Lonchura striata: one gene and its partners. The protein of the gene in region 1 interacts with the protein of each later gene in a pairwise test. Links are inferred from orthologs where the notes say so. Each region holds a gene or a part of one and is shown in the gene's direction. Other genes may lie near its edges.

Region 1 (7,731 bases):
TCAGCAGGACCAGGCTGGCTATTTAGAGTCCTCTTTTGGGTCTCTTATAGGAGGGCCAAAGTTGTACTGGAATGTGGGCTCAAATAAAGGTTTGGAATCAGGACTTAGAATGTCATAGAGCTCCTTGGGCAAGGGATGGAAACTTCAGGAGCTTGGAATTCATAGTGAAGCAATTAAACATAAAGGAGTGAAAATGTTGAGTGGCTAGCGTGAGTGTTTTTCCATCCTGCCTGAGGTAAAGACTGTGTATTAGTAAAAAACAGGTCAAGAAAAGCAAGAGCTAAGTTAACTTCTAATAAACTGCATTAGTCATGATAAACTTGACATGTGTTGAAGGCGGTAGGTGCTTTCTTTAGTGAAGCTGATCTCCTGAATTGCCAGAAAATTTGGTAACTGGTTGTTTTGAGAATGCTCCTCCTCCTCACTCCCTGGTTAGGGTGGCACAGAGCTGGAACTGTGCTCTGCAGACCATCAGCTCACTCTAGTTTGGTGGAGAACAGTCAGCACTGGTGCTGCTCAGTGTTTGTCAGTTCAGGTGAGTCACCAATAATTTACAGTAAGAACTTGCCTCTCAGATATTCTGACTGGCTGGGAAAGAGAGAGCTTGTCCCTGTACAGTGTAACTGTGCTGGTAGATGGAGTTTCTTCTCATCTTGTGAGATCTAAGTGTGAGAGGCAGGGAGCTCACAAAGGGGATGAGTAGCTGAAATGCCAAGTGTATGTCAGAGTTTTACCTTGCTCTTTTTCATTTTAAGTTGCCACTGCTAGAATTACTTCCATCTCTCTATTGACATAGGAATCAAAGGTAACTCTTGAGGTTAAACAGCCTGTGCTGTAATATTGATACCAGACTGCCCATGAAAGATGTAAATCCCTTAATTCTTTTGTTTGAAGAACTAGATGAAGAACATCCAGAGCAAATCAGGTGATCTGTGCCTCTGGACTTAGAACAGCTTGGTGTATTTCTGCTCCTCCTTTAAGTAACTGCACGTTGCACCATGGAGTGCTGGTAGCCTGTAGTCCCAGCAGTGTGAATGCCTGGCAGGGCTGTTGGCACCCCCTGGCCTGGCCCGAGTGTGTGTGTGTGTCTGTGTGTGTGTGTCTGTGTGTTTTCCCAGATGCAGACGTTCATCTGACTCTTAAATGCTTTCTTTGAATTTCAGCTTGCAAACTGGTTTGCAGCTCTGTTCTGGGAGAAGCCCTGCTGGAGTTAGTGGCACTACCTGTTGCAGCAGTGTTGCTGATAAACAGCCTTGTAATCCTCTGAGTCATAACATATGAAATAAGAGTGAGTGTTTTATAAATGCAGGTATCCAGTTTGGTGTGTTGGGTATAAAGTGATGACCTGAGTGCTTTTCTTGCTTCTCACCATGCCATTCCAGTTCTGGCTGTGCTGGGCTGTGGCAGGAGCCCCAGTGACCGTGTCACTGCTGTGTGTCCTGTCCCTGCACGCAGAGCAGTGTCACGACAGCAGGACTGTGGTTTGACACCATCTGTGCACTTCTGCTCCCACCAGAGAGGGACATCCCATTTGGCTGAACTGTGTCAGCAGTTTGTTTGACTGAATTTCACTTTAAATATTTTTTGTGGTTATCAAATGTAGGCTGCCTTGGGATATGACTGTGTGTCATCTGTAATTTGCTGTCTGGACAGGAGTAGCTGTGTTAGCAAGCTTGTCCCTGCATGCAGTCCATTGGTGTGTGACACAAGGACAGAGCTGGCTTGAGGCTGCCTGTGCTGAAGGATGGATGGAGTCTCTGCCCACCCCCACTGATGATCACTGTATCCCATTCAGGAGGATTTAAAGCATCATTGAAAGGGCACATGTTATGAAGGGTGTCCATCCTCAGCCTTGCTGTGATGTGGTTGGTGAGTCCTTAGCTCAGGTTGTCCCCAAACTAAGCTACTTTCACCTCTGAAGTTGTCTAGAAATTCAGAGCTCCCAGGCTGATAAAGAAAGTAGTGAAGAGTTGGGGTCACACTCGGGCATTTTAGGATGACCTCCTGGTATCATCCTTTTGTGTGGCACATCCTGCTCCAGCACTGGTTTTCCAGGGAGGTCTGTGTGTGCCTTGTGGTTCTGGGTCCTTACACAATGGTCACAGGGATTTCTCCATGCCCCTTCTGTGTTGAGGGCTAGGTTTGTTTCAGATGATTGCTCTTGTAAATTTTTTACTCCACAGTTACACAGCAATGCTGTGATCAAAGACTAAAGCATGCCTTTGCACTGGCTTGCAGTGGCTCTCTCTTTCCCTGATGAAGTCTTGATTCATCCGTACTGGACTTACATGCTGACCAAAATAACATCATATTCACTAGTTAAAATAACACTGATGGACATCTCTGCCTTTGAAATATTCTGGATGTGTAATTTGAGTTAATTTTATTAAGACTGCAGATCTCTTCTGTCATGATTACTGGTGAGGTTTCTGTCTGGCTGCATCATTTCACTTTCAAGTGATTATCAGAAACCTGTACAGTCTCATATGGTTTTAATGCATCTACATGTCATCCTCATCTTGTACTTGATCAGGATAACACATTCAAGTGCTAGAATTTAAAAGGTCTGGTTTATTGCTAAAAGTTTACAAACTGTACTTGAGTGACAATTCCAAAAAAAAAAAACCCCAAAACCAAAACCAAACAAAAAAACCACCCTCCAAACAAACAAATAAAAAAGTCCAAACCCAAAAAACAAAACAAAATGAAACAAAAAATCAAACAGCAAAACCCTGAAAGAATTCACTTCTTGCTTTTTGAGGAGTTAAAAAAAATAATTACAGAGGTTGGCAAAAGAGCTGGCGTTCCACGTTTATCTGCTGTAGGGGGATGTGCTTTAATGTACTCTCTTGAGGCATACTCTGTCTCTAATTTGTAAAAATAGGATCCTGGTATGACTTGTTCTGTACCTTAGTATTCCTTAGTCTTGTGTTGTCTGACCTCACTATTTTCATATACTGATTTTGTTTTTTTCACTCTTTAATCCACCTGAGATGCAGCTGGGGCTGTGCTTGTGCTGCTGGGTCCCAAAGACCTGACCTGCTGGACACTGTTTTGCCCAGGCTGTGGATTTGGGCAGGGCAGCAGGGCACAGAGAGGTGGGATGTGCTGTCTTCTTCTGTGGTGAATGAAGCCAACCTCATTTCCTAGGAATGAGAAGGGCAAGTTATCTTTTTTTGTTTGGGAATTAATTGTGAACATTCAGTTGTCTTGGAATGTGGGGCTCTGGCTTGGCTAAATCTTTTTGCTGCCTTTAGCTGGGGTGGCTGTATGTTGAAGTTTGTTAGTAACGAGGATGGGACCAGAAGTCTTGGGAACTGTGTGGTCTTTTAAGATGTAAAAATAAACAAAGCTGAGAAGCTCTACCCTACTTAAAACAAGCTGACCTAAATTTTCAGCAATTCTAGCAGAGAGGCAGGCTCTGGGTAGGGATAAAGGCTTACTGACAACTGGCTTCCCTGTCCTTCCATCGCTTGACAAGGTTGACAGGCCACCTTTGGCAAATCAGCACTGGAGTCTGAGGTCATTCACTTCCCCCTTCTTAAGCTGCCAGCCTGGCTGTGGATTTGCCTTGTGCTCCTGTGGACAGTCCCCTTGTTATGCAAGTCAACAGTTCAGCATCTTCTGGGAAGTCACAGCATGAATCTCTTCTCAAATTGCTTTTGTTGGAGTGTGTTGACAGCATGTTAGATGTCCTTTGGCTTGTCCCTACAGAGATTGCTTTTGAGAGTAGGCGTCTGGAAAGTCCTTTCATACTCTTTGTCTGTAGATTAATGTTCTTGCTATCAGTTGCAGTTCTCCACTACTGAATTATTAATTCTGCAGTGAGGGATTTTTCTTTTTAGTGTTCATTGACTTTCATGCTCAATTTATTTTTCTGAGCAGTTTGAAACTGGAGCATGGGAATGTTGACTAATATTAACGGATCACTTGTGTGACCTCAGAGGTGGCTAAATAAACTTTCTTAATTGGGAAAATGGCATCTGTCTTTCAAAGTACTCACAGTTTCCCAGGTGAAAGGTTGCTTGTGAACGTGTATTGCCCTCAGAAGCACATTGCTTGTTTTTCAAGAAAACTGGGATGTTCAGGCAACCAGTGGAGTGGTTACGTGTGCTCCAGAGACAGTCCTGTAGGTAATGTGATGGGAGAAGGAGGGAAAAGAGGGTTTGCAGATTCTCCTGCTAGTGTGACTTTGTAGCTGAATGTTTTCCTGGCAGAGAGCCTGTCTTTGATTGGAAAGCATTCCCCTTGGTGTTCTTGTAGGTACTGATGGTTTGCTGTTTTGTTCTGTGTTTGTGTGTGCTTTTTCCTGCAGGAAGATAAGAGGAGAGGAATTGTGTATCCTTTCAGCAGCCTTCTGTTAAACTTGGAATATCACAGCTCAAGCACGTGAACAGATGGATAATGGAGACTGGGGATATATGGTGAGTGCAAGTGTGCACTGTGCACTACAACTGGGCTTCCAAGGTCTTGCAGCAAGAATCCTTCCACATCTGCCTTGTGTAGATTGAGCTTCAGTTGTGAGAGAAGGAAAACTATGCCTGTTAAAATAGCTTTACAACAGCTTACACACCTTCCCTGGAGTGCTGCACCTCCTGTGCCATTTGTGGGGAGTGCCCAGGTTCACATTTGCTAGGGACAATCAGCCAGGACTGAACTGATGCCTTGAGCTCCCTGTTACCGTTTTCCTAACAAAAATGCTGAAAATAGTTCATGCTTTTTGCTTATTATTTTAAGGATTTTTGTCATTTTATTTATCAAGAAAAGTATTTTTTCTTGTAAATCTTGTGTTAAACTAGACAAGCACATCTTATTTTTCTCCCCTTCTCATTCTGCTGCCATGCATATGTCTCTTTTCTCTGGCTGGCTGCAGTCCTGGTTTTTAGAGTTGGTGGCCAGATGGGATTTATGTTCCTTTCTCTCTTGCTTCCTCATGTGCTATCTGGAATCTGATGCAGACTGGTTTGTGCTCTGCTCCCCACTTCTATGCAGCATGCTAATTTGTTAATAAATATTTCTTTTTAGAATTAAAAGCTGAAAGTTCTTTTTCTCCCTTGCCTGTTTTAACGAAGCCTCTGAGCCGAAGTGTGGATTATTTTGATTGTGAGCTCTTGGTCCCCTATGTTTAAACCTGCACTGTCTTCCTCTTTTGAGGGATAAAAAGAGGCTTAATGTTTGTTTGGCTTTTTTTTTTTCCCTGTTTTTTTGGTTTTGATTTTGTTCTAGAATGAGAGCCAGATTGTGAAAGTAAGGAACATTGCTGGTCCTCATTCTGACTAACTTGTTCTTCAGGAAATTTCTCTTTTCTCATTTCCCCATCTGTAGAATAGGAAAAAACTTGCTGCCCGAATGCTAAACTTGATCCTGCAACAGTAGCTCAGTTGTTAAGATTTCTAAAGCATTCTGGAAATGTGCATTCTGCATGCTAAGTACCATCCTGTCTAGTTGCCAGTTGTGCCTTGTTGCTAGGTGGCTTGGATTTGTTCAGGTTTGAACAAATAGAGGCGTTGAACAGAAGTGTGATTTCCCCCCAGTTTTCCAGCAGTATTTGCCAGGTGTGTCAGCAAGGTGATCGAATCTTCTTGTTGGGGCTTGATAAACTCTGCAATTTCTCTCTTTCTAGATGACTGATCCAGTCACGCTAAATGTGGGTGGACACATGTATACGACCTCCCTCACAACTCTAACGAGATATCCTGACTCAATGCTCGGGGCCATGTTCAGGGGAGACTTCCCCACTGCCAGGGACTCTCAGGGCAATTACTTTATTGACAGAGATGGACCACTTTTCCGTTATGTTCTTAACTTTTTAAGGACCTCAGAGCTCACTTTGCCACTGGACTTCAAGGAGTTTGACCTGCTCCGGAAGGAAGCAGACTTCTATCAGATTGAACCCTTAATTCAGTGTCTTAATGACCCCAAGCCGCTGTATCCTGTGGATACCTTTGAGGAGGTGGTGGAGCTGTCCAGCACCCGGAAGCTTTCCAAGTACTCCAACCCGGTGGCTGTGATCATCACGCAGCTCACCATCACGACGAAAGTCCATGCACTACTGGAAGGCATTTCAAACCACTTCACCAAGTGGAATAAGCACATGATGGACACCAGGGACTGCCAGGTGTCCTTCACCTTTGGGCCATGTGATTACCACCAGGAAGTGTCGCTCCGAGTCCATCTCATGGAGTACATCACAAAGCAAGGCTTCACGATCAGGAACACCAGAGTCCATCACATGAGCGAGCGTGCCAACGAAAACACAGTGGAACACAACTGGACTTTCTGTAGACTGGCACGGAAAACAGATGACTGATTCTGACTCCACAGGAGCCACTTCAGTGATTAGCAACTTAATTGGGCAGTGTACCCAAGAGAGTCTGGATTTTGACTAAAGCAACAATATGGGCTTTTTTTATACGACTATTTATTGTTTATCAGTGAGGACTGGAGGAGTTCCATTCTCTAGCAGCTCTGTTCTTTTGTCCAGTTCAGAAAAAAAACCGTGCATGTGCCTGTTCAGTCAAGACACCTTTTTGTTTGAAAGAGGGAGTCCGAAGAATCAGTACAATAGGGTATTTTGTGTCATTAACACAATTCTCTGACTCAACTCAAAGTGCTAAAATTACCTCTTGTTTAAATTGTTTCTAATTCATCTAATGCTATGACACTGGGAGCAAGAAACAAAAAGATTTTAAAATGCAGTTGGGGAGAAGCTGCTATTGTGTAGACTAATTTAGTTTCTAAATCAATAAACAGTATTGTAATATTCTAGGAAAACAAATCCCACCCTTTAAATGTACTTGATAAGTACAGTTTCTTACAGTTATGACAACTGTTTCTTTCTATGCATATAAATCAAGCAACCAAATATTATCTGTAGCCATGGAAATATGATTACAAATATTTATATTGGATTCTAAATGCAAAATGTCCCTGTGGTAGAATTCATATTTTTAATGCCTGGTGCAATATTATTCCCAAGTGTAATGCCTGCCAGAAGAAGCTAATAAAAATGTGAAATACAGAATACTGTTTTGTATTTTCTCTTTGTCTTTTAGAATTTTCATACTTAAAAAAGCCAACCAAACAAAAAGCCTCCCACCCAAATTCTGGTTTTTGTGCTGTGGAGTAGTTTGGGTGTTCTGGTAGGGCCCTGGTTTCTTCAATTAATGATGTAATTTGTTCCTTTTTATGTTAATCAGTTGATTAAAATGTCATTATAGACAAAACTTGTGTTCTGAAAACTGCTTTAGTTTGATAGAAAGATGGCAAATATTTGTACTGGTTAAAGGGGTAGGGATGGAGGAAACACAGGGCCTAAATACTTGTAGCTGCTAATAGAGTTGCCTGGTTTGTCAGCACTTTATGTGGTATTTTATATATATAAATTCCAACTGCAGAATGCTTTTAATAGTGATGTTGAAGTCAAGGCACTCAAATTCTGTGGCTTTACTTAATTTCATACAGACATTTCTACTTATCCTGGTCCTTTTGTCATAGTTATTAGTAGAATTTCTGGTTATGATCTAACTTGATTGCAGCTGGGAGTAAGGGCGTTGGTATCTGTTTCATGGAGTAGATCCTGTTCTCCCATGAAGTTCTTGTCCCAAGTAAGTGGGAGCTTTCCATCCCATATCTGGCTCTAAAGGCTGTCTTGGGGGGTATTTCTCTGTCGTATTTTGTCTCTTCCTGTTCATACATTGCAGGTTTTTGACTTATGCAATAAGAGGCAGC
Region 2 (7,872 bases), on another chromosome or scaffold:
ACCCCGGGACCCCGGCACCCCGGGACCCCGGGTCCCCGGCACCCCGGCACCCCGGCACCCCGGGACCCCGGGACACCGGCACCCCGGGACCCCGGCACCCCGGGACCCCGGGACACCGGGACCCCGGCACCCCGGGACCCCGGGACACCGGGACACCGGCACCCCGGGACCCCGGCACCCCGGGACCCCGGGTCCCCGGCACCCCGGCACCCCGGCACCCCGGGACCCCGGGACACCGGCACCCCGGGACCCCGGCACCCCGGGACCCCGGGTCCCCGGCACCCCGGCACCCCGGCACCCCGGGACCCCGGGACACCGGCACCCCGGGACCCCGGGACCCCGGCACCCCGGGACCCCGGGTCACCGGGACACCGGGACCCCGGCACCCCGGGACCCCGGGACACCGGCACCCCGGGACCCCGGCGCCCCGGCACCCCGGGACCCCGGCACCCCGGGACACCGGCACCCCGGGACACCGGCACCCCGGGACCCCGGCACCCCGGGACCCCGGCACCCCGGGACACCGGCACCCCGGGACCCCGGCACACCGGGACACCGGCACCCCGGGACCCCGGCACACCGGGACACCGGCACCCCGGGAACCCGGCACACCGGGACCCCGGGACACCGGGACACCGGCACCCCGGCACACCGGGACACCGGCACCCCGGGACCCCGGGACACCGGGACACCGGCACCCCGGCACACCGGGACACCGGCACCCCGGCACACCGGGACACCGGCACCCCGGGACCCCGGGACACCGGGACACCGGGACACCGGGACACCGCCACTGACCGAACGTGACCAAACTCACCGGCAGTAACCCCCCAGACCCACGGGGGACACGCAAACCCCCCACCGTGTGACACACAATGACCTAAGTGACCCCCGTGAGACACACAGTGACCCCAGGTCACCTCTACTGACCTAAAGTGACCCAAACTCACCCCGTGTCACCTGCAGTGACCCCCCTGACCCACGGGGGACACGCAACCCCCCCACCGTGTGACACTCAATGACCCCCGGGACCCCCGGGACCCGCGGGACCCCCGGGACACAGCGAGCCCAGACCACCGCTACTGACCTAAAGTGACCAAACTCACCGGCAGTGACCCCCCAGACCCACGGGGGACACGCAAACCCCCCCACCGTGTGACACTCAATGACCTAAGTGACCCCCGTGAGACACACAGTGACCCCAGGTCACCTCTACTGACCTAAAGTGACCCAAACTCACCCCGTGTCACCTGCAGTGACCCCCCAGACCCACGGGGGACACGCAACCCCCCCACCGTGTGACACTCAATGACCTCAGTGACCCCTGTGTCACCCAAGACGGGACCCACGGTGACCTCCGGGACCCGTGGGACCTGAAATGACCCCCACGGGAGCTCTCAATTCCCCCGCTGCTCCGTGGGACCCACAATGAAAACCCCCGCGGGGGTTCTGTGGGGCCTTGTCCCCACAGACCAATAGGAACCCCCACATCCCCCCCCGAACCCCTCCGTGGGGACACCTTTAGGTGCTCTGTGACCCCCACGGCACCCCTAGACCCCAGTGGGGACTCCCAGACCCCGGGTGGGGTCACCCCGCAAGGGGACACCCACAAGGGACCCCACAGAGCCTCTAAGTGACCCCACATCCCACTGCGTTCCCATATCCCAAATATCGCCCCCCACCCTCCTGGAAGGGTCCCTGACCCGCAGAGACCCCCACGACCCCCCACCCCACGGTCCCACTGCAGGGGTCCCTCAGGGGACAACGGGGACACCCCCCGCCCGCCGTGGGACCCTTCCAGCCCCGCTTTGGGGGTCCCAGGGGTTTGGGGGCTCTCGGAGCATGACCGGGGGGGTCTGTGGGACCCTCACCCCCCAGAACATCCCAGGGGACCGAGACCCCCCCGCTGCCCCAGGGGTCACCCCGGTGCATTGTGGGAAACTCCCCATCACCAGCTCGGGGGGGTGCGTTTGGGGGGTGCAGCCCCCCGGGGCCGGGCTGGACACTCCGCAGCGGGCCGGTGGGGGGCTGGGGGGCCCCGCTGGGTGTCGGTGGGGGGCCGGTACCGGGCAGCAGGCCCGGGGCGCCGTGATGTCAGGCGGGGGCGGGGGCAGGCGCAGGTAGATAAAGCCGGGGAGAACAGGAATCCCCGCTCCGGCGGGAGGCTGCGGGACGCGCCGGGAGCTGCAGGTAGGAGCGGGGCCGGCCTGGGGGCTCCTGGAGCCGGGGGGGGGGTCTCTGCTCATCCCGGGGTGTCGTGCCCATCCTGCCGGGAACCACCCCGGAGCTCTCCTTCCCTTCCCTGCGCCCCTTCCCGCCTTCCTCCCGGCTCTTCCTCCTCCTCAGCCACCCCGCCCTGCCTCCTCTGCTGCCTCTGCGGCCCTGGGGAGCCCTGACCCCCCACCCCGGGCACCCCCGGGACCCCCACCCACAGCTGGGCTCCTGCTCCTTAGCCCGGTGGTCCCGGCACGCTGTCCCCTGTCCCGGTGGCCCTGGAATGCCACCCCCTCACCCTGGTGGCCCTGGAATGCCACCCCCTCACCCTGGTGGCCCTGCCATCCCCTCCCTCACCCTGGTGGCCCTGCCATCCCCTCCCTCACCCTGGTGGCTCTGCCATCCCGTCCCCCTGCCCTGGCACCCTCGATCTGGTGGCCCTGCACCCCCTGCTCCATAGCCCTGGTGGCCCTGGGGCCCATCCCGGTGGTCCTGACCCCCTCCAAGCCCCCACCCCATAACCCTGTTTGTCCCCTGGGTGTCCCCACCCTGGCTGTCCCCACCCTGGGTGTCCCCACCCTGCCACGGCCACCAGGACCGGGCTCACCCCGGGGTGACCTGAGGCCACGAGGGTTGGTGGCAGGGCCGTGTCCCAGCCCCAGGGCCCCGTCTGTCACCTTCCCCACGCCCTGTATCCTGCTGTGCCCCACCAGCAGCGTCACCCTGCCGGACCCCTGGCTGTCCCCGTGTCCCCACATGGCCCCGGGGTCTGCCCAGGGACGGGGGACAGGGCTGGCACAGCCGGGGCAGGGAGCGGAGGGGAGCAGAGGGTCCTGGTGGGATGCAGGGATGGGGACAGGGACAGGAATGGGACAGGAACAGGGACGGGGACAGGGACAGGGACAGGGACAGGGATGGGACAGGGACAGGGATGGGATAGGGACACTGCAGGGACAGGGACAGGGATGGGGACAGGGACAGGGATGGGATAGGGACACTGCAGGGACAGGGACAGGAATGGAGACAGGGACAGGGATGGGGACAGGGCAGGGATGGGGACAGGGACAGGGATGGGACAGGGATGGGGACAGGGATGGGGACAGGGACAGGAATGGAGACAGGGACAGGGATGGGGACAGGGCAGGGACGGGGACAGGAATGGGGATGGGGACATGGCTGGGACAGGGACAGGGGCGGGATGGGGACATGGACAGGGCAGGGACAAGGATGGGGACACTGCAGGGGCAGGAATGGGGACAGGGACAGGAATGGGACAGGGATGGGGACAGGAATGGGACAGGGACACTGCAGGGACAGGGACGGGATGGGGACAGGGATAGGGACACGGCAGGGATGGGTACAGGGACACTGCAGGGACACGGACGGGACGGGGACAGGGACAGGACGGGGATGCCATCAGCCCTGCCCAGCCGTGGACTTGGACCCGAGAGGCGGCGGGAGGTGGGCGCAGCGACGGGCGAATGATTAACGCGGCTCTGCCCGGTGTCCCGGGACCGCCGGGTGCCACCGTGGGTGCCACGTGTGTGTTACGCGTGCCATGTGCTGGGGGGGCCGTGGCACATCCCCGCTGCCCCCGGAGCCGGTACCGGAGCCGGTGCCCGGTGCCCCGGTGGCACCGCGTGGGCGCCGGCAGCGGGGCGTGGGTGGGGAGCCGGGGGGGCTGTGCCAGCTCGGGGGGTTCCCACGGCGGCTCCCTCGCCCCCGGCTGCCGGCGCGGCCGCCCGGGCCCGGATGCCAGGGCGGTGAGGTGGAGCTGGGAGCGGCCGCCAGAACTGGTTTGGCCGGACCCGAGGAGGTGTTTGGGCTGAGCCGCCGCCGCCGCCGCGCTCGGCTTCCTTCTCTCCTCGGCGCCGGCACGGCTCGGCCTGGCAAAGCTCGGCCTGGCAAAGCTCAGCCCGGCATCGCCCGCTGCTCCCAGAGCCTGCTGTGGGTCCCACTTGGGATGTGGGGGATTCTTGGGGGGGTCTCAGCCCACAGCACCCGGACAGGACTGGGGGGATGGGGACACCCTCGGCAGCTCAGCCAGAGCCCCAGGGCTTGTCTGGGCACCGGGAAAACACCCCTGGGTGGGTGCCAGGGGTGGGAGCCCACATGGAGCCCGGGGTGGTGTCCTCACCCCCCTGCAAATGTAGCCATGAACCCTCCCGAGGGAACGAGGACCAACCCACGGAGCCAGACCCCCTCTCTCTCTCCCCCCCACAGATAATGCCATGGACGGGGGGGCTCAGCAGAGCAGCCTCTGGGAGCCCCCCGAGCAGGATGGGGGTCCTGGTGAGCGGGATGGGGGCGAGGGGCCGCCCGAGGTCAGGCGCTCCCAGCCCCTCTTCATCCACGGCAGCAGGTGGGTGTGAGCCGCGGGGGGATTTGGGGAGGGGAAGGGGGTGCTCGGGGGGGGTCACAGGGGGCGTAGAGCTCACCCAGCCCCCCCGTGCCTGCAGCCGGCAGCCGCCACCGGAGGAGCCACGAGCGTCGTCGCTGCCCAGCATCCCCAACCCCTTCCCCGAGCTCTGCAGCCCCTCCAACTCACCCATCCTGAGCAGCCCGGCCCTGGGACAGGGACCCCCCCGCGAGGGCACCCCCCATGTGAGTCAGGGGCTGGGAAGGGACGGGGGGATGAGGTTTGGGACACGGACACCCTGCACAGGCTGGGGAGGGGGTTTTTGGGGCAGAGACCCCCCGCGAGGGCACCAGCGGGAGTCAGGGGCTGGGAAGGGACGGGGGGATGAGGTTTGGGACACGGACACCCTGCACAGGCTGAGGAGGGGTTTTGGGGGCAGGTACCCCCCCCACTAGGGCACCCCCCATGTGGGTCAGGGGCTGGGAAGGGACGGGGGGATGAGGTTTGGGACAGGGACATCCTGCACAGGCTGGGGAGGGGGTTTTTGGGACAGGGACCTCCCCACGAAGGTGCCAGTGGGAGTCAGGGGGTTGGGGAGAGTGGAGGGTCTCAGCTCTGGGGCTGGAACCTCCTCCCACGGAGGGTTTGGGATGGGGTCCCAGCCTTTGGACAGGGAGCCCTCTGCAGAGATCCCACCATCCTAAGCCAGGGGGCCGAGGGGTTGGAAAGAGGGACCTCAACGCTGGGGAAGGAACCACCTCTGAAATGAGTCAAAACTCTGGGGAGGGAGGGGACAGGAGCCGCCTCCCACACCAGCTGGGGAGCGGGAGGTGGGGTGGGCATTCTGTGCTTCAGCAGGGTCCCCTTGTGCTGGGGGCAGCCCTGACACCCCCCGTCCCCCATCCCCAGGTGGTGAAGGTGTTCGGCGAGGACGGCGTGTGCCGCTCGCTGGAGGCCTCGGCGGCGACCACGGCGCGGCAGCTCTGCGAGACGCTGGTGCGCAGGACGCGCGCGCTGCACGACCACAGCTGGGCCCTGGTGGAGCTGCACCAGCACCTGGCCCTGGGTGAGCGCCCGTGGGGGCACGGCGTGGGCACGGCCCGCGGGACCCCCAAACCCTGCTGACCCCCCGTGTCCCCCCGCCCAGAGCGCTGCCTGGAGGACCACGAGTCGGTGGTGGAGGTGCAGAGCTCCTGGGCCCCGGGCGCCGACAGCCGCTTCGTGTTCCGCAAGAACTTTGCCAAGTACGAGCTCTTCAAGAGCAACGCGGTAGGTGGGCGCCCTCCGTCACCCCCCTGAGCACCCCAAGGGTCCCTGCTGACCCTCGGTCCCCCAGCAGTTGCTGTTCCCTGAGGTGATGGTGTCCAGCTGCCTGGAGGCCAACAAGAGCATGGCGCACTCCGAGCTCATCCAGGTATGGGGCAGCACGCCCGGCCGTGCCCCGGGGACCCCGCCGTGCCCCGGGGACCCCGCCGTGCCCCTCAGCCCTCGTGTTTCCCCCCCAGAATTTCCTCAACTCTGGCAGCTGCCCTGAGGTCCAGGGCTTCCTGCACCTGCGGGAGGCCGGGCGCAAGGTCTGGAAGCGTTTCCACTTCTCCCTGCGCCGCTCGGGGCTCTACTACTCCACCAAGGGCACCTCCAAGGTGAGGGCAGGGGGGTCTGGGGAAAGGGAGCACGGCCAGGGGGTGCAGCGGGGCCAGCCCTGACACCCCCCCGCCGCCCCCCAGGACCCCCGGCACCTCCAGTACTTCGCTGACCTCACCGAGTCCAACATCTACTACATGACGCAGGGCAAGAAGCTCTACGGGACGCCCACCGAGTTCGGCTTCTGCATCAAGGTGGGGATGGTCCCCGCTTGTGGTCCTTGCCCAGGGCTCTCTGTCACCTCTGAGCCACCTGGGGCTGCCTCATTGTGAGAACCCCGGGCTTGCTCTGGGGTCTCGTGTGGTGGAAAAGTCTCTCCTCCCACCCGTGCTTCCAAAGAAAGGCTCAGCAGCTTCTCATTGTTCGGTCTCAAGGCAGTTTATTGTAAATTATCTAAAAGATTTTCTTCTCTTGCTGCTGCAGTTTGCTCAGCAGCTCAGGCAGAGGCACACACACACCCTGACATCCTCTCTGGTGTCTTCTCTCCCCACCCAGGGCTGCTGCTATCTTTTATATGATATATTACATATTACATGTTTATAGTTTTTCCCCAATACCTACTACCTATATTACAAAGTGCTTTTCTACTCTAAACCAATCCATAAGTGCCAGCTCACCCAGAACATGGAGGTGAGGAAGAAGAAGGAGGAAGAACAGGATCAGCCCACTTTACTCCATCTTAGAACTTCTGACCCCCATGTACAAAGTGAAAACCCCCCTGTACATGTGCTAAAACCCCTGTACAATACTAAAAAAAATTCCCCTCTGTTTTGTAACTACTTTTACTATCCTATCTAACCCTTTGTGACTGTTCCACCTCCAAAGTTGGTAATTCATTCCATGGTTCAAACTCAAAACCACAGCTGTTTGCAGCTGCCTGCTGGGGTCTAGAATGCTTCTGACCAAGGCCTGGAACATCCAAAAATGTCTGAGGGACATTTGGAGTTCCAGCAGCCCGTGACGGCTCCGGCCTCTCCCGCAGCCCCACAAGGTGCGGAGCGGCGCCAAGGGCCTGAAGCTGCTCTGCAGCGAGGACGAGCAGAGCCGCAGCTGCTGGGTGGCCGCCTTCCGCCTCTTCAAGGTGAGCCCCGCGCCGGGGGGACGCTGGGGGCACGGCAAAGAACTGGGGGGATGGCAGAGATGATGGGGTGATGGCAAAGATGATGGGGTGACACAAAGACAATGGGGTGACAGCAAAGACGTTGGGGTGATGGCAAAGATGATGGGTGACTCAAAAATGATGGGTGACACAAAGATGATGGGGTGACAGCAAAGACGTTGGGGTGATGGCAAAGATGATGGGGTGATGGCAAAGACGATGGGTGACACAAAGATGATGGGGTGACACAAAGACGATGGGGGGACGGCAAAGATGCTGGGGGGATGGCAAAGATGATGAGGTGACGCAAAGACGTTGGGGTGACGCAAAGATGATGGGTGATGGCAAAGATGAATGGGTGACAGCAAAGACGATGGGGTGATGCAAAGACGTTGGGGTGACGGCAAAGACGTTGGGGTGACGGCAAAGACAGATGCTGGGGTGACGGCAGAGACGATGGGGTGATGGCAAAGACACTGGGGTGATGGCAGGGGGATGCTGGAGGGAATTTGGAGGGATAACAGGGGTGTTCTGGAGGGTGGTGCTGTGCATCCCT
Region 3 (7,794 bases), on another chromosome or scaffold:
GCAGGTCACTGACAGTCTGGGAACAGTTTCCCAGAGAAACTGTGGTTGCCCTGGAAATATCAAAGGTCAGGTTGGATGGGGCATGGAGCAACCTGGGATAATGGAAGGTGTCCCTGCCCATGGCAGGGGGTGGGAATGAGATGAGCTTTGAGGTCCCTTCCAGCTCAAACCATCCTGTGATTCTATCACTCCACAGCATTCCTGCTTTGTCATGTATCATCCCACAAAGAATGTCTCCCCCTGCACAAGCAATACCACGGCTTGCCAGGAGGTGTTGCTTTGAAACCACGCAATTATAAGAGCTCAAAATTCATGAGGTAGGTTTGTAATATTAAAAAAAACCAACATACTTTGTTCTGGAAGGGAAAAATCGAGGTTTTACTTTTGAAATTACAATTTTTGTTTAAGACAATTTAGATCTACAATGCCCAGCATGGCATAGGGTGAGATAAATACTGAACAGACAACCCACTAGGTGGGAAATGCTGTGAGTTTGAACACTGCTAACATATCTGTCAGACCAGCTTGATGTGTGCAAAGTTGTCCATAGCTTTGTGTTTGCAGGGTTGGATGCTAAAATATACAGAAACACAGACCAGGCTTGATGCAGTGGGGAGTTTCAGAGCAGTAATCCTGGGTTTCAAGAAGCCAAGGAGCAGAGTAAAGTCTCAATAAAACAAAAGTCTTCCAAGGCCAGGTCGGACAGGGCTTGAAGCAACCTGGTCGAGTGGAAGGTGTCCCTGGCCATGGCAGGGCATGGATTGAGATGACCTCTAAGGTCCCTTTAACCCAAACCTGTCTGTGATTCCATGCTAACAGCTGTCGTGCTCACAGGGCTGTGTTGCTGCTCTCCACACCTGCACACACACATTTGAAACAAAAATGAGCTGTTTGCTTCTAAGGGGAATGCAGAGTTGGGTATGCAACTGTTCTCCATCTCCACACTAGTTTTTAAGTTATTAAATGTAGTAACAGGGGCAAAGTTAACAATGCATTTAATTATGCCCTGCCTTACTTTATAAGACAAAACAAAAAGCAAAGATTCCAAGACATTTGAAAACCTTTTTTACTACAGGAAAAAAAAAAAAAAATCCTCAAAGGATACCCAGTTAGGACAAAAAGGTTTTTAAATATGTCTTTATCACGTCAATCTAAAACAACCTTCATGGCTGACAGAAGCTGTGGCTCTTCAGCAGAAATTTAAATTCTGCAATAGGATGCTATTGCATGGCCCACAGTGTGCCTTGCTGTGTTGTTCTAGTTATCACACCTGCTCCACCTTTGTAAGGGCTCTCTGTGCCAGCCCTGAGGCACTGAACTCCAGCTCACTGAGGCTCTGTGAGGCTGGGTTTTGGAGACTGTTTGGAAAATAAACTTAAAATTATCAGAGGACACCTCCTAAGGGTGTGACAACCAAAGGAGACTCTGAAATTATTTTGTGATCAAATGTTTACCAGTATTGGCTTTTACCACACATGAAGGGGTCAGACAAAAATTACAAAAATTGCAGCTCTTTTTACAGCAGATAATAAGTGGGGGGGAAAAAGGGCCATAGCTGTAAGAGGGAAAGCCGAAAACAGCTGTTGGATTTAGCTGGCCCTCCTGTCTGTCATTTCAACAGCAAGGTATAATTCAGGCCTGAAGTTTAGACCAGCTGATGACAAGAACCAGTAAGTTTTTCAGTTTTCAGAGTTCCTGCCCCTCTCAGCACTGTGGCCATGGGCTTTACCACAAATCTCCACTCAGATTGCACAATACAGCTGATAAGACCTTCCATGCTCCCCAGAGGTCATTCCCATAGAAATACTCTACTCCTACAGATGGGACATTACTGCACTCACCTTTTCCAGTCTCTCTGGGTGCAGCTGTCAAAAAAGCATTTTCCAGGAATTTTTGTTCTGTGTGAATAAGGTTAGAGCAAATCAAGGTGCTTCTTATGGAGTACCTTGTATCACTGATATACTGGAATAAAAATGAAGCTGAGGCTCCTATAAATAAAGCATTTGTTTTTATCATTCAGCACTTCCTGAACAGGATGATGATCCCGGGGGCTTGCAGGAGACTTGATATATTTGTGTTGCTCCAGCTCAGAAAGAAGTAGGAATCTTTTTTTCCTACTATGGCACTTTCTGAGGGGTTCAGAAGACAAAGCACAACATTTCCATCCATTAAAATCTGTTTTTTGGTAAAAAATACCTTCATCCCCACTATTCCTGTCTCAGAAGCCTTTTTCCAGAGCTGGGTGCTAGGTGTATTTTCTGAGCATTATTCTCTAGTGTGTGGTCAAAAGACCAGTAATCAGAGGGATCTGGAATAGTGAGATGTCTTTTCCTCTGGCAGGCCTAGGGCTAGAGAAAGCTGCCACCTTGTCCTGTGGCTCCATAGCCCACAGCTGCTTTCCAGGGAAGCACAAACTGCCTGGCAGCCCCCGCACAGCTTTAGAACAGCAGGGCTGACAGAGGCTTGCACAAGCTCTTGGGGAGCCACACAAAAGCTGGAGGAACAAACTGGACCACCCTGGTAACATTTTGCCATGGTGAAGTGCACTGACAGGCTCTTCAACCTGCACCCCTCCCATGTGCAAGATCAGCTCAGATGTAGCAGAGCTGCAGAGCCTTGGTCTGATTGCAGTGAAAAAAAGCAATGCTGGAAGAGGAAAACACAGCCAGAAGCATAATTGGGGCCTGTACCATGCACTTCTCTTTCCCCATTGGTTTGGGATCTGGATTTAAGCTCAGGCCTTTGCACTTGGTCATTACACAACTTCCAAGACTTAAAATCTCTCTGCTGTATATACTGAAATTCATTTATTCTTCTTCTCACTACCAAACTCCATTCATCTTGAAGGAAAAAGGGAAAAAAAGACAAGCACAACCTTAAATATTACCTGAACTTTTCCATAACAATGTAGAACTTTCTTCTTTTTTTTTTTCCTATGAGCTCTCTTTTCCCAAGCACTGCTTTCTTCTGTGTTTATTCGAGCTTGAAATAGGGCTGTTTTATCACAACTACAGCAGTTGTATTATTAAAGGACAAATAGATCAGACCTGTAAATTATAAACACAGAGTACAACTTAGACTGATCTTTGGTTTCATTCTGGTTAATAAAAATTCGACAGACCAGCTAGCCCTCCAAGGCATCATTTACACAATTTTTATAAACTCCCAGAACATGCTGTTTACAAGCAAATGGCAGAGTATTATCACTAGTTTAGGGGGGTTTGTAACATTATATAATAAATGCCAGAAGAGCTGTAGTGACCCACCACAATAGGTGTAACAATAAAGGTTATATAAAAGCAGCAATAAAGCTTGCTTTTAGTGAAGGACCTTTCTGTACATGTAAATCAATTTCTAAAAATGTGTACACCTGTTCCAGACCAGGGAAAAACTGTAGCCATTCTGCCCAGGGACTGACTTTTAAAGGCCAAGAGACATAAAGGGGAGATTATAGATATATAAATAAGAATATAACAATGTATAGATGAGAATATTTTCTGTCCTTTAAATAACATTTTAAAGCAACAAATACCTGTTGTAACATTAGAAACTGTTTCCCCTCCCTACCTCTCAGCTCTTTTTACAGTGGCACTACAGCACTGAGCTGAGGGGCTGGTTTGAAGTGATGCCCGAGAGGACCAGAGGGACAGAGCTTGACTTGGAGCACACATTAAATTCCAGTGTTGTCCCAGAAAAGGTTCTTTCACCCAGTATACAAGATGCCAATCCAACACTAAGTCAAGGTGTTTGATTTATTTACATTTGTGCACAGAAAGAAGGCTGGGTAGCAAATCCACAAAGCCAGCATAACTATCAAAACTTTTCACTATTTATACATTTTAGCAAATGAAGGTATTGGTGTTCATTGGCTGCAAGTTACATCATTCTCTTATTTAGTGGTCTGTCTTCTACTGATTAATGATTCTCTCATTTCTCATGCTAATTAGGCCAGTCTTTATCTTCTTTTGGGTCAGTGGTTTCTTGGGTCAGTGGTCTGTGAGTCGCTGGTCATGACCTGCTCCTGCCAGAATTACCTTTTACCCAGTCAGGGCTGATTTCAGCACAGTTGCTGGGTTGGCTTTATTAGTTTCTTCCTTATTTTGGGGGTTCTGCCAAATGGCCTTGTGGCCTCTAAGTTCTGCATTCTGTGTGCCCACTCTCAGTGGCACATCACACACATCCTTCTTCCCAAGCATTGTCAACCTCCCGTAGGACTGGGATCATTGAAACACGTGGAGCCCCAGACCTTAACAAGGCAATTCTACCAAAAAGGTTTTCTCTTCCCAACGCCCGGACAACACTTAGAGCTTGTGAGCTGAAACCTCCTTTCTTGTTGATTAGGCTTGAAAGTTATAAAGATCAAACATTAATGAACAACCTTCCTTAAGAACAGTGTCCATACTGTGCATTTTGCCACCCCAGCAGAGGCAGCTCTCCGCCGGCCCGGGCCGGGGCCAGCCCCGCGGTGACCGGGCGGTGGGGGCGGGCTGCGGGCGGGGCGCGGCGGGGCTGGCCCGGGGACACGGGGACACAGAGGGAGGCTCGGCATGGCGCACTACGCGAGGGGCTCGGCCGTGGCCGTCATCCGGCTCTGCAACCCGCCGGTCAACGCGCTCAGGTACCGCCGGCACTGCGCGGGGAGCGTGGGCCTGAGGACACCTTAGGAGCGGGTGGAGGATTCTCCGATCTCCTTCCCTTTCACCTCGTTCCTTCTCTCCGAGCCCGAGTGAGGCTCGCCCCAGTGAGCCTCAGCCGGGACTTCTACACCGCTCAGTACTCGCAGAGTACCGGCGGCTCCTTCAGAGGTAGCCTGGATCTCGCTTTGCAAACAACATGCTGAACTTTGCCATAACTTCTGCTCTTTCTTATAATTTCTAGCTGGGGAGTTTCACAGGAGAGGTGCCAGGCTCAGCAAACCATACTTTCTGCCATCTTCGTGGAAGGTGTTTAAAAACCTTGCTTATTTCTCATCATTTTCCAGTCTTTAAACATCAAGACTGCTTCAGCAAGGCATAGCACAGCAGCGCTAGCTCAGCCTGGAGTGCCTTCAGTGCTGTTTGGTACAAGTCAGTCCTCAGATTTCCTGGTCTGATTGTCTGCCCCACATTGCTCAGTACTTGCCTGGCGAATCCTTGTGCTATCCAAGAGGGCAAAGGGCTCTGTGGGTATCAGGCATGGTTCAGCAAGCAGAGCTGGCACCAGGATTAAACTCAGCCAGGGCTATCAGAAAACAGTTCATTTGGCCTTTAAAAACAATTAAGGAATTGACCTCTAATTACTGATCTTGGTAAAGAAGGGCCCCATGCAATCTCAAACAGGAGCCAGTGAAAAATGAAGTCAAACACCAATCTGTAGGAGCCTCTGAAATTTTAGTTTTTCATGTGTCTTGAAAAGGACTTACGTGCTTTTGGCTTTACATTAGTTGTGGGGTTTAGTTCCTTTAGTTCTGAATAGCACATAAACCCTTTCTAAGCAGCTGTAGTTGTTCAGTAATAGTGACCACAGTGTCTATTCAGTCTGTATTCACAAGCCAAAAATAATCACACTGCAATTGTGCTTGATTTACAAAAGAGAAAGTTCGTTAAAAAGAAGCTCACGGAGACAAGTAAGAGCATGAAAAGGAGACGAAACATGATGTTCTTCTGTAGAAAAGCTACACTGTAACTGGCACTGGTCACTCTTCTGTTGCAACTTGTTTGGAAGTGGAATGAGAACATTTTCACATGCTCAGGTAATTACCATGAGAAACTTGGAGTGACTTGATGAGTTTAGATGAACCAGACACGTAAGACTCCCAGAACTGTATGGTGTAAGACATCCTTTGGACCTCCTGTGCCCAAGACTAGTCTAAGAAAACTTCCAGGCTGTGCTCACAATAAACTTTCAATCCTTATCATGAAAAATACAAAATACAGACCTAAAGAATCATAGAATTGCTGATGTTGGAAAGATCTTTACAATCACTGAGTCCAACCATCAGCAGTTACAGATATGTGTTTAGGAACCTTAACTCCCCTCTTTTGAGAAGTCCTGGAGAAAACCCAAAGTCACCTCTGCCTTTGAATAGCAACAGCACAACAACTTCTTCAGGACAGATCTCTGCCTTTACTGCCCTTTGCTCCTGGCCCTGCAGTGCCCTCACAGCAAGGTGCAGTTCTGGTACACCAAGGGAGACAGATTGTGTGGTTGTGGTCCTGTCCCTCAGTCCCACAGGGAAGAAAGAATATCCTGTAGACTTCAGATCCATTAAACTACAACTTGAGACATGTCGGTGGTCTTTGGTGGCATACCAGGGCAATACCTGTTTTAAAAGAGATCCATAATTCTCACACCCTTGCCATCAGGTAGGTGTTAGCTAAGATGTGACTACAGCTAGGAAAGGTACAGCACACTCTGATCCCTGGGTGCTCCTCCTGTTCCTGCACATTTCTGTACTGGACCACAGGAAGCAAGTTTCTTAGTGCTGTTGGAAATGTTGGAACTGCACAGGTGATAGCAGGCAGTGAAAGTTACAGACAGGAGCCATGCCCTGCAATCCTGAAAATTTCATTTCACAGCAGGCACAAACGCTTTTTAAGACTGGTGAGTTTTTGCTGCTGTACTCCAACCTTCCCTACCTGTCTCCATTATCCACTTCCCCCCTCCTGGGCCATCACATTAGCCATTAGCACTTTAGAAGCCAATGGTGGGCAGGAATTTGCTTTCTCCTGTCTGACATCATCCTCTGCTGGTACCTGCAGTGCTTTTCTGAGAAATGTGTGCTGACTTGAGAGCCTGGCAGCAAATTCACTTCCCACACAGACTCCCCTTTAAGCTAATCACTCTCTCCACCAGCAGAAGTGGCATGTGCCAAATTGCATTTGTTTGGAGGGCTTTTTCCTGGTTTGCAGAAGTTTAGTATTCAGAGATCTGCATTTACAAGACCACGGCATTGAGAGAAGGGATCCAGATATGCAAAGAACTAGGAGGTTTTTAGTAGCAGAAAGACAAGACTTGCAAAAGGAAGGACTGACTACCCCTTCTCAGCAGAGGCAGGCCGCTGGCACCGGGAATTAGAAGGACTTTAAGGAGTATTTCAACATTTAAGCTGACAAGGACAGAAAAGCTCCAGGGAGGATAGGGGAGGCCATGCAGTAGGGCAGCTTATGTGTGGGATTCTATGAAGTGTGGCAGCATAACAGGTTTGATTGGGAAAAGCTCTCCCTGGCTGCCAGGGTTATCCTTCTGACTCTGATCACCTTAAAATTCAAAAAATGTAAAGGGAATGAGAGAAGCTGCAGATTCAGACAGGTAGCAATGAGGGGAGAATGTGATCACCCACAGATCAGCACTTCACCAGAATGAGATACAGAGAGAAAATTCTGGGATCAATAAGCATCTGCTTCCTCAAACAACTATTCTAAAATTCCAGTCAAAAGATGCCATTCTGGCTCTGGCCTTAATTTACGTGTGGGACTGTTGAAGCTGCATTAGCAACTTGTCACACAACAATATGTGACAGTAGCTGCTACACAGCTGGATCTGACACTGAAGCAAGGGAGAGCAGAGCAGGTAACTCCAGCACAAAAGTCCTCAATTTCAAGTAGGGGATTATGTAACACCCAGCAGTTAGTTCAAAGAAAAACACTGCAGGAAGCTATCCAAAGGAAAAGGAGCTTGTGACAATGGGAGAGCCTGAATTGTTATTGTTCGGGTTTGGGATTTGCAGGTTTTTAAAGTATATTAGAAGCTGAGAAAAATACAAAGGAAAAGTACCAGACCTGCGTGCTTTCCATAAACAACATTTTCCACTTT
Region 4 (7,831 bases), on another chromosome or scaffold:
ATCGGGCCCGGACACGACAGCCAGGCCAGGGCCGCTTATGGTCACTGCAGCGGTGGCACTGAAGAACACGGGGTTGATAATGGGGAAGGTGCTGTCTGGAGCATCTGCTGTCTGGAGCAGCTCTGGGTTCAAGGGCTCCACCTTGGTTTGGATTTTCAGACTCCACTGGGCCCTCGCGTGTGAGGAAGGGTGTTTTTGTGCCCCAGGCTCCTGAAGGGGAGGATTGATGGTGCTTTGGAAGGCATCCTTCAAGCAAGCGATGCTGCCCACTTAGTTTGAAAGTTTTTTGCCACGTTATAAAGCACCCATTGTACAAAAATCTGCGTCAGTCACTCCACACACATGAGCAAAGATTATAATCCATCCCCATTGCCTGGAGACAGTGGCTGTTCCTACAAACAACCCAAGTGGGTGGAAGTTTCAGGAGCTGCAGAAGGACAGGAGCCTGAATGTCGCCGTAGAGTTTAAATCTACAAAGTCTTCAAATGTGGTCTTGCAGAGGGATTTTCATCTGGTTGGACATGTGAGGGTGGTTTTTCTTCTCCGTTTTTGCAAAATGGACACAAACCAATGAAGAAAGTGGCTGGTGCCAGGCCTGAGCCAGAGGCCTTTGAGGTCACTGGCAGTCTGTCACTGCCCCCGGGTGGCTTGGAGCCCAGCCCGGAATACCAAGGGATGCAGAAAACAAGTAATTTCATATCAAAGTGCTATCATATGCTCATAAAAATAGAAGGAAAATAGAGATGTTTCCTCCCCCACCCCTTGCAATCCTGTGGAATTACAATGATCGGAGCTGTCGCCTGGAAAGCCTGACCTCACTGGGAGTGCATGGATCCAGATGCCATGGAGTGCCCTGTGACAGTGAGTGGGACCACAGTGGGACAGGGGGCAGCCACATTCCAGCAAGCAGGGGGGTTAATGTTTCAGCAGTAACCCTGTTAGGGAAAGCCCCCACTCCACTGTACCCCGACAGCTGCAGCGCTGCTCCCCCCCCACCACCAGTGGCCTCGTCTGCCCTTAAAATTCACTGATACTCAACTGGCAACCGAGCAACCACTCCCTTTGCAGGTACACAAAAGAGGCCTTTTATGAGTGTCATTTTTACTAGTATCCAAAGCCAAATAACACAGAGTAGAAAAATCACCAGCAGCCTTTTGTCCCATTCACCCCTCTCTCTAAACTCCATTTCTTCTACCAGATTTTCCTGGGGGAAAGTATGGGATTGCAGTTTTCACTGTAAATCGTGTCAGACCCTGAATCTTTCTGTCTATCTTCAGGTGATCAGAGGCTGCAGACCTGCAGCACAGCTGGTGTCCTTGGCCCTTGGCTGGTCGAAACCCTGGGTGACTCAGAGGGTTGGGAATGTCCAGCAGGGTTTATCTCCTGGTGGGATTGACTGCAAAGTGAGGGCAAGGCCTAAACTGTGCTGCCTGTTCAGGCTCCCTCTGCTATTGATAGGAGGCCTCCTCACAGGACAAATCTTGTCTTTACAGTGTCTCCCAAGCCCTCAAATCAGCAGTTTCTGAGCCAGTTTCTGGAAGAGAAAGGAAATTCCCTTCTCAATTCTCATAGCCGGGATCATTTTCAGCTATGTCGCCTTTGCCTGTGTTGCAGGGCAGGACCTGCCTCAGAGTCCCTGCTCTCCAGAGGGACCTTGGACCCTGCACAGTGGCAAAAGGGATGGATGAAGGCAAGATCTGAGGCTGGGAAAGGCACTGAGAAAGGAGAGAAGAAAGAGACTGTAAGTGGCAATAGATCCTTGTGGGGCTGGGGGGGAAGGAGATTTCTGTGCATGCTTAAGTCACGTGTACATTTGGGCAAAAGATGTACCAGGAATTTGACAGTCTGAGGGCATGACAGGATGCAGCTAGGCTGAAAGCAGGATGGTCTGTGGGCATGAGAGAGCCCAAGCACAGTGGGAGGCTGGTGGGAAGCAGGGACAACACCAAGCACATGGAGCTGCACTGGGAAGGTGGCAGGGTGGGCTCTAGGCTTGCTCTGTGGCCTGGCATCTTCCAATTGGAGCTGGAAAGCTCCTTCAGGCCCGCTTCCCTCCTTCTCCCCCCTCCTGGTGCCGCACTTCCCCTCGTGCAAGGAGGGCCAACAACCCGTCAGGATTCCCATAGGAAAGGGGCTGCGGAAGGGCCTTGTTATCCTGACCTGGAACAATGCAGGCCATCCCCTGAGCTGCCTGCGTGGACCTGGAGCCAGCAGCCTCCCCTTCCTCCTGCCCTCGGCCGCCGAGAGCACGGGCCTGCCTTGTAAACAAATTGTCTTGCTCTGTTCCGGTGGCAGCTGCACTTCTGGGCGTCTCATCTGGGAAAGGCATCAGCTGTAGGATGAAAGGGGATGTGCAAGATGTTATTACAAGCAATTACTGTAAAAGAGGGGAAACTTTCCCATGCTAGGAACACATCTCTCTTCTTCCCAGAACGCAGTGAGACAGGCTCCTCTGCCCCAGGAGTTATAGTCAAACAAGAGCATGATCCTCCAGCTGAAGCTGAAGGATCAGGGTCCAGCCTGCCTTCCAAAGTAAGCATGTGCTACCGGGTGTTCCAGCTGTCAGGGCAGGGCTGGGGCAGGGCCAGCCTGGATAAGCCCTGTGCAGCTCCATCCTGGGGACAGGAGGCACTTGCCCAGCGTCAGAGTCGTGTTTGTAAGAGCACCTTTAGCCTTTGAAGAGGGCATAGGGAGGGTGTGACTGGGCCAGGACCATGCATGAACCTCCGAGCCCCTGCTGCCCCAACTGCCCGGGCAGAGGCCTCAAAGGACATGTCATTGGTGCTGGGATGGAGGAGCAAGGTGTTTCTGATGCCTTTTCCCTGAGGGAGAGCTGCCCCTTGGGAGGTGTCAGGTGAACGAGGACTCTTTCTCCCAGAAGGAATTTTGAGAGCACCTCTTCTCCTTCCTTGTCTCTGAGACTCAGGGAATACACTCACCTTCCTCCTTGTGGTGGGCCAAGAGGAAGGGAGGGCAGATGGGGATTATTTCTAATCTGGGAGCTGTTCTCACTCAAGGTACAAGGCTGAGAGGGGATCCAGTTTGCTCATTTTGGGTGACAACAAGGATGAAGGGATGCAGAGAGAAGGTCTCACTCACTTGCTGTGGAATGGAGAGACCCTCTCCTCCCTGGGACATGTGGACCAGCTCTCCATCTGCTCCCAGCTGGTTGGATGGTCTATTTTACAAACCAAACATCAGGGAGGGTTTGGGGGTCCCCATGCCCCGATCATCTCCCTAGATGTTCCCTTTTTATGCATCAAATCCCATTTCACCTCATTACACCTTTCTGCACCACCTTTAGCAATCCGTACAGAGCTCTGGATCACCTCCTTCACACCTCCATCCGCAGGCTGTTATCACATCTTCCCTGCCTCCCAGTGCATATTTACCCCAGGAATCACCTGTCCCACCCAAAACCGTCCCCAGCTCTTTTCCTCTATCATTATCTCACTGAGAGTTAGGCAGACAGGAGCAGGCAGGGTTCTCCCCGGTCAGACACCTTCGGGGGACTTGGACTTCTCCCAGGTGAGCAGCCCGGAACACGCCGTGGGGCTGGCCTGGCGTTACTTCCTTGCCTCTCCGGGAAGGGGAAACCCTCCACCACAGAGGATGAGCTGTGGCTGGAGTCCCACCAGCACCTGCTCCCTAGGGCCAGAGGGAGGGAACGGGTTAACCTCCCGGGGACGTAGTGCAGCCCATCCTGCCAGGGAATCTCCCTTCTGGGCAAGTTCTGCCCTGTACAGGGTAAGCTGGTTTCCCGCCGCTCCAGAGGGACCGGCCGGAGGAGGCTCTACTCCGGGGGTGTCCCAGAGAGCCCCTTGGTGCACCACGCCGGGGCAGACCCGGACCTTGAGGAGGAGCTGGTCTGCTCCCGGGCGCCATGGTCCCGAGGTGGAGCCCATCTGAGGGCAGACCCCGGTTTGGAGAACATGCACCGCTGGGGCACATCCCACCAGGATGGAGCACGCGGAGAACACACCGTCCTCCGGCCAGACCCCACCGGGACATCCGCCCCGGCCCCGCCCCGGTCCCGCCCGTCCTTGTCGCGGCTGCTGACGCCGGGGGCGGCCCCGCGCCCGCCCCGCCCCGCCCGCCGGACCAACTTCCATTTTAGGTGCGGGAGCGGCGCGGGCGCACGGCGGGACCCGACCGACGCCGCGCTCCGCACACACCGCCCCGCGCCGCCCGGCGGGACCCGGCCTGACCCGCGCCGCCGCCGCACCGGGCGCCCGCCTCGCCTCTCGCCTCGCCGCCGCGGCGGGACCCGCGGAGCGGAGCGGGCCGGGCGGCCGTGCCGCCGCCGCCGCGGGGCGGGACCGCCTGCCCTCGCCCGTCCGCCGAGGAGCCCGGCCACGGTGAGTCCCGATCGCGGCGTCCGTGCCGCCGCTCAGGGGGCAGAGGGGAGGGAGCAGAGCCGGTGCGGGCCGGCGCCTGCCGGGCGCCGCACGCCCCCGCGGCGGCGGCGGGGCGGGACGGGCCGGTCCTCGCCCGGCGGGGCCGGATCGGGGCTTGGCCGCGCTCTCCTGCCGGGGCCGGTAGGTACCGGGTCCCTAGAGTCCCGTCCTGCCCGGGAACCCGTGCCAAGCGCGGCCGCGCCCCGCGGGACCGGTGGGGCGGCGGGGCCCGGCCCTGGCGGGGGCGCTGGCGGCGCCCGGGAGCCCGCGGGGAGCGACACAAAGGCGGCTGGGCCGGGCGGCCGCCCCGCTCCCCGCCCGGGGCCGCCGCCGCTCGCCCTGCCCGGAACAAAGGCGGCCCGTGTGCCAGCTTCCCGCGGCCGGCACCGGCGGGCCCCCCCGCCCTCGGGCGGGGAGCGGGGCTGGGTCCCTCCGCGGGGTCTCGGCCGAGGCACGGTCCGGCTTTCCGACTCCGCGTCCCGCCGCCCAGTTCGGCTCTGCCGCTCTCCGCAGGGGCTCCTCGCCCGGTGTGTCGTTCGCCTGCGCCTTTGTTCTGCCGGGGAAGGGGCCGGTGTGCCCGGGGGGGTCAAGTGTGCGGGTGGGGCTGCGGCTCCTCCTAATGGAATCGCTCTGAGCTTCAAAACAGCCCGACAGGCCCGTCCACCCGAGCTCACAAGCGACTCCGAAGTGCTTTCCGAGAGGCAGGACGGTGCCGGAGCCGACCTCGGGGGTCTGCTCAGCCGCCGGTTCGTTCTGAGTCTGCCTTGGCCACACTGTCATTTAGCGACAGCCCGGCTGCCTCCCCCTGTCCAGCGCTCGTCCTGCCTTCTCCGGTGACCGTCCCCCGGCATCGCTTTCCCCTGCACGGTGGGCGTTCCTATGCCTCTTCGGAGCGTTGCAGAGAAGAGACTTTGCTTGGGGTGAGAAAGTTTGCGTGCCTCTCAGTCATGAGGGCTGCTGGCATCTGCGAGGCACCCGCGCGCTGGCAGAAGGGAGGTGGGGCACCTCCGTTATGGCCCTGGGCTTTGGGCGAGGGAGCCTGGACAACAAAGCTTCCTCTGATTGTTGGAGAGAGCAGTGGACCTCCTGAAGTGCCTCCCTCTCTCCCCAAGGGCTTGGTGCCCTTGCCCTTCCAGGGAGCCAGTGATGATGGGGCTCACAGGGTGTTATTTTGGGGGCCTGGGCTGTCCTGTGACCAGCTGGAGCTGGAGGCTCCTCTCCCAGGCTTCTTCCCAGCTCCCGGTGAGCCAGAGAAGAACATCTGGGCACATGGAGTCATGTGATTGTATTGAACTGCAGCTACCTGTAGTTTCACTGATGCCCTCCCTGCACTGCACAGATGCTTTTGGACTTGACTGTCCAGGTCTTTGGTGTGGAGAATTGAGCTTGTCCTCAGCTTTGCAGGTGTGCTGGGATCCTGTAAGCCATGCTCGCAGCTTCTGTTTGGAGTTTCAGCTTCCATGCCCTCTCTCCTGGATGTGGCAAGGTAGGGTCAACAGCTGGCTGGTGACTCCCAGGCTCCTGCCTCTGCTGGAGCTCCTGCCAATGGAGCCGGGGCCATGTCCAGCAGGTCAGTGGCAAGAGCCTAGGCAGGAAAATTGTTAGTTGTCTTCCCCAGAGTTACCTTGTCTGCTCCATCCTGCTCCCAGGGCTTTCTTGAGGCAGGTTCTTCACCTGCTGGTGTTTGCTCATGCTCTGTCAACAGCATAAAGGCAGTTTTTAAGGATTTGTTCTTCCACTTGGTTGAGTTTGGCTGGACTCTTGAGTGTGCCGTTGACTGTCCTTTGCCGTGTGCAGCATTGCTGGAATCTCGTGCGGAACCTTCCTGGAAGCAGTGGGAGGATGAAAGCGCTCGCTCAGTGGAGCATGCAGGCTTGCCTGGACTGCCACAGAGGGCTGAGCCTCCTCCCTTCCGACGCAGAGGTCAGGGCCTGATCGTTGTGGTTGAGGAGCCCTTGAGGCCATCCCTTCCCTAAAGATGGGCTGGGAGTCAGATGAATGGTCCAGCCCAGACCGCAGAGCCGGTGTCTGTCCCTGGATTGCCTCTCATTTCTTCCCTCCTCCGGCCTCTGGCATGGAGATAAGACCTTGGCCCATTGTATCTGCAGTGGAGGTGGCTTTAGGACACCCAGAAAATAATAGTGTGGCTTGGATCATGCCTGGAAGGCTGTTGGCTTCTCAAAATAACTTACCAGTGTCTATGGCCTTAGGGGGAAAGTGCTGGGTAAAGCTCTTGGTTTCTCTTCCCAACAACCCCTCAAAACTGTCTCTCATTTACTGCTGGCAAGGACAGAGCCCTTTCCCAAGACTGTGGTGATGCTGTCTCCAGGGAAGTACAGAGCTCTCCTGGCTCTGAACATTTGTGTCTCTGCAGCACTGTGGCTGTGTCCTGTCCCTGCTTTGCTGACGGGGAGAAGCGGAACCTGGAGCTGGTTTGGGTCAATAGGAGACAACAGGTGTTGCCTGGATTTGATGACAAAACCCGAACCTGGGCAATTCAGGCACTCCTCTGTGTGTGACACAGGGCTTGGCCAGCGGAGGAGGTTGTCCTCTGGCACAGAGTTCAGGAATGTGCCTCAGTGCTAGGCTGTCAGAAAGGGGTTGGATTGACGGGCTCTCGACCAAAGTCCTCGATTTCTCTGAGGTGGCCACAACCTTCTCTTTGCTTTATATAATCCAAGGAGGCTTTTTGGGGGAGGAAATGGCTTCTTAGAGCAAGTTCTTGTCCTGGAAACCCCCAGCAGCAGGCTGATGAGTCTGTCCAGCTCCCGCCTGTCTTGTGCTTGTTGCTAATCCGCCTTCCTTCCCTCCAGGAAGGCTGCTGGTGTTGGTTTGGCACAGGAGTGCCTGTCCCTCTGCCCTGTCCAGTGACTGCTGCATGTGGGGCCTGACCTCTGGATTAATGGGCTTTGTTGTGTTCTTGTGTGCCTTCAGCCTGTTGGGGGGCTTGGGTATGGCAGTGGGCGCAGTGTGATCTTCCCGTTTCCCTTTGCCTGTGGAGGAAGCAACTTTTCCCTGTGAGAAATACTGCTTCCTTGTGATGGCCTCTGTAAGGAGGGGTGAGATGAGTTGGCTCTGCTGGGTGTGGGGGCAATCCAGTGACTAAGGAGCACAAACTGCCAGGCGTGGTACCAGGATGGGCCAACCCTTAACCAGGGTGCCCGTCACCTTTGCTTTCGTCTGCTCTTCCCAGCCCGGAGCAGCTGCTGGCTGGAGATTGGCAGTGGGACATCTGCCATAGATCTAAGTATGGACCTTGGACTGAGGTGGAACAACTGGTCCCTGCTGCCCAGCCCTCCATGCCAACTCCTGCTGCCTTGAGGGAGATGTGCTTCCCTGCCAGGGGGGCTGACAGGAGTGGTGGGTACCCAGGAACAACTAGTGCCAGTGTCCCTAGCCTTGTGCTACAGGTGCATGGTGACTTTGCACTGCAG

What was found.
Region 2: the proteins of KCTD6 (region 1) and GRB7 interact in binary tests that used the Homo sapiens proteins (3 or more experiments, as listed by UniProt). The two-hybrid records come from large-scale screens. The link is inferred for Lonchura striata from reciprocal best matches to the Homo sapiens genes KCTD6 and GRB7.
Region 3: the proteins of KCTD6 (region 1) and EHHADH interact in binary tests that used the Homo sapiens proteins (3 or more experiments, as listed by UniProt). The two-hybrid records come from large-scale screens. The link is inferred for Lonchura striata from reciprocal best matches to the Homo sapiens genes KCTD6 and EHHADH.
Region 4: the proteins of KCTD6 (region 1) and CTNND1 interact in binary tests that used the Homo sapiens proteins (3 or more experiments, as listed by UniProt). The two-hybrid records come from large-scale screens. The link is inferred for Lonchura striata from reciprocal best matches to the Homo sapiens genes KCTD6 and CTNND1.

What each region holds. Positions count from the first base shown.
Region 1 is NC_134614.1:15,790,624-15,798,354, forward strand, and holds KCTD6 (BTB/POZ domain-containing protein KCTD6), read left to right. Parts: upstream 1-4,323; 5' UTR 4,324-4,397; coding exon 4,398-4,424; intron 4,425-5,623; coding exon 5,624-6,310; 3' UTR 6,311-7,024; downstream 7,025-7,731. UniProt on the Homo sapiens protein: Probable substrate-specific adapter of a BCR (BTB-CUL3-RBX1) E3 ubiquitin-protein ligase complex mediating the ubiquitination and subsequent proteasomal degradation of target proteins.
Region 2 is NC_134627.1:7,271,233-7,279,104, forward strand, and holds the start of GRB7 (growth factor receptor-bound protein 7), read left to right. Parts: upstream 1-4,429; 5' UTR 4,430-4,445; coding exon 4,446-4,576; intron 4,577-4,673; coding exon 4,674-4,818; intron 4,819-5,482; coding exon 5,483-5,639; intron 5,640-5,720; coding exon 5,721-5,842; intron 5,843-5,909; coding exon 5,910-5,987; intron 5,988-6,078; coding exon 6,079-6,216; intron 6,217-6,300; coding exon 6,301-6,411; intron 6,412-7,199; coding exon 7,200-7,298; intron 7,299-7,872. UniProt on the Homo sapiens protein: Adapter protein that interacts with the cytoplasmic domain of numerous receptor kinases and modulates down-stream signaling. Promotes activation of down-stream protein kinases, including STAT3, AKT1, MAPK1 and/or MAPK3. Promotes activation of HRAS.
Region 3 is NC_134612.1:6,533,006-6,540,799, forward strand, and holds the start of EHHADH (peroxisomal bifunctional enzyme), read left to right. Parts: upstream 1-4,521; 5' UTR 4,522-4,547; coding exon 4,548-4,618; intron 4,619-7,794. UniProt on the Homo sapiens protein: Peroxisomal trifunctional enzyme possessing 2-enoyl-CoA hydratase, 3-hydroxyacyl-CoA dehydrogenase, and delta 3, delta 2-enoyl-CoA isomerase activities. Catalyzes two of the four reactions of the long chain fatty acids peroxisomal beta-oxidation pathway.
Region 4 is NC_134608.1:53,102,227-53,110,057, reverse strand, and holds the start of CTNND1 (catenin delta-1), read left to right. Parts: upstream 1-4,292; 5' UTR 4,293-4,358; intron 4,359-7,831. UniProt on the Homo sapiens protein: Key regulator of cell-cell adhesion that associates with and regulates the cell adhesion properties of both C-, E- and N-cadherins, being critical for their surface stability.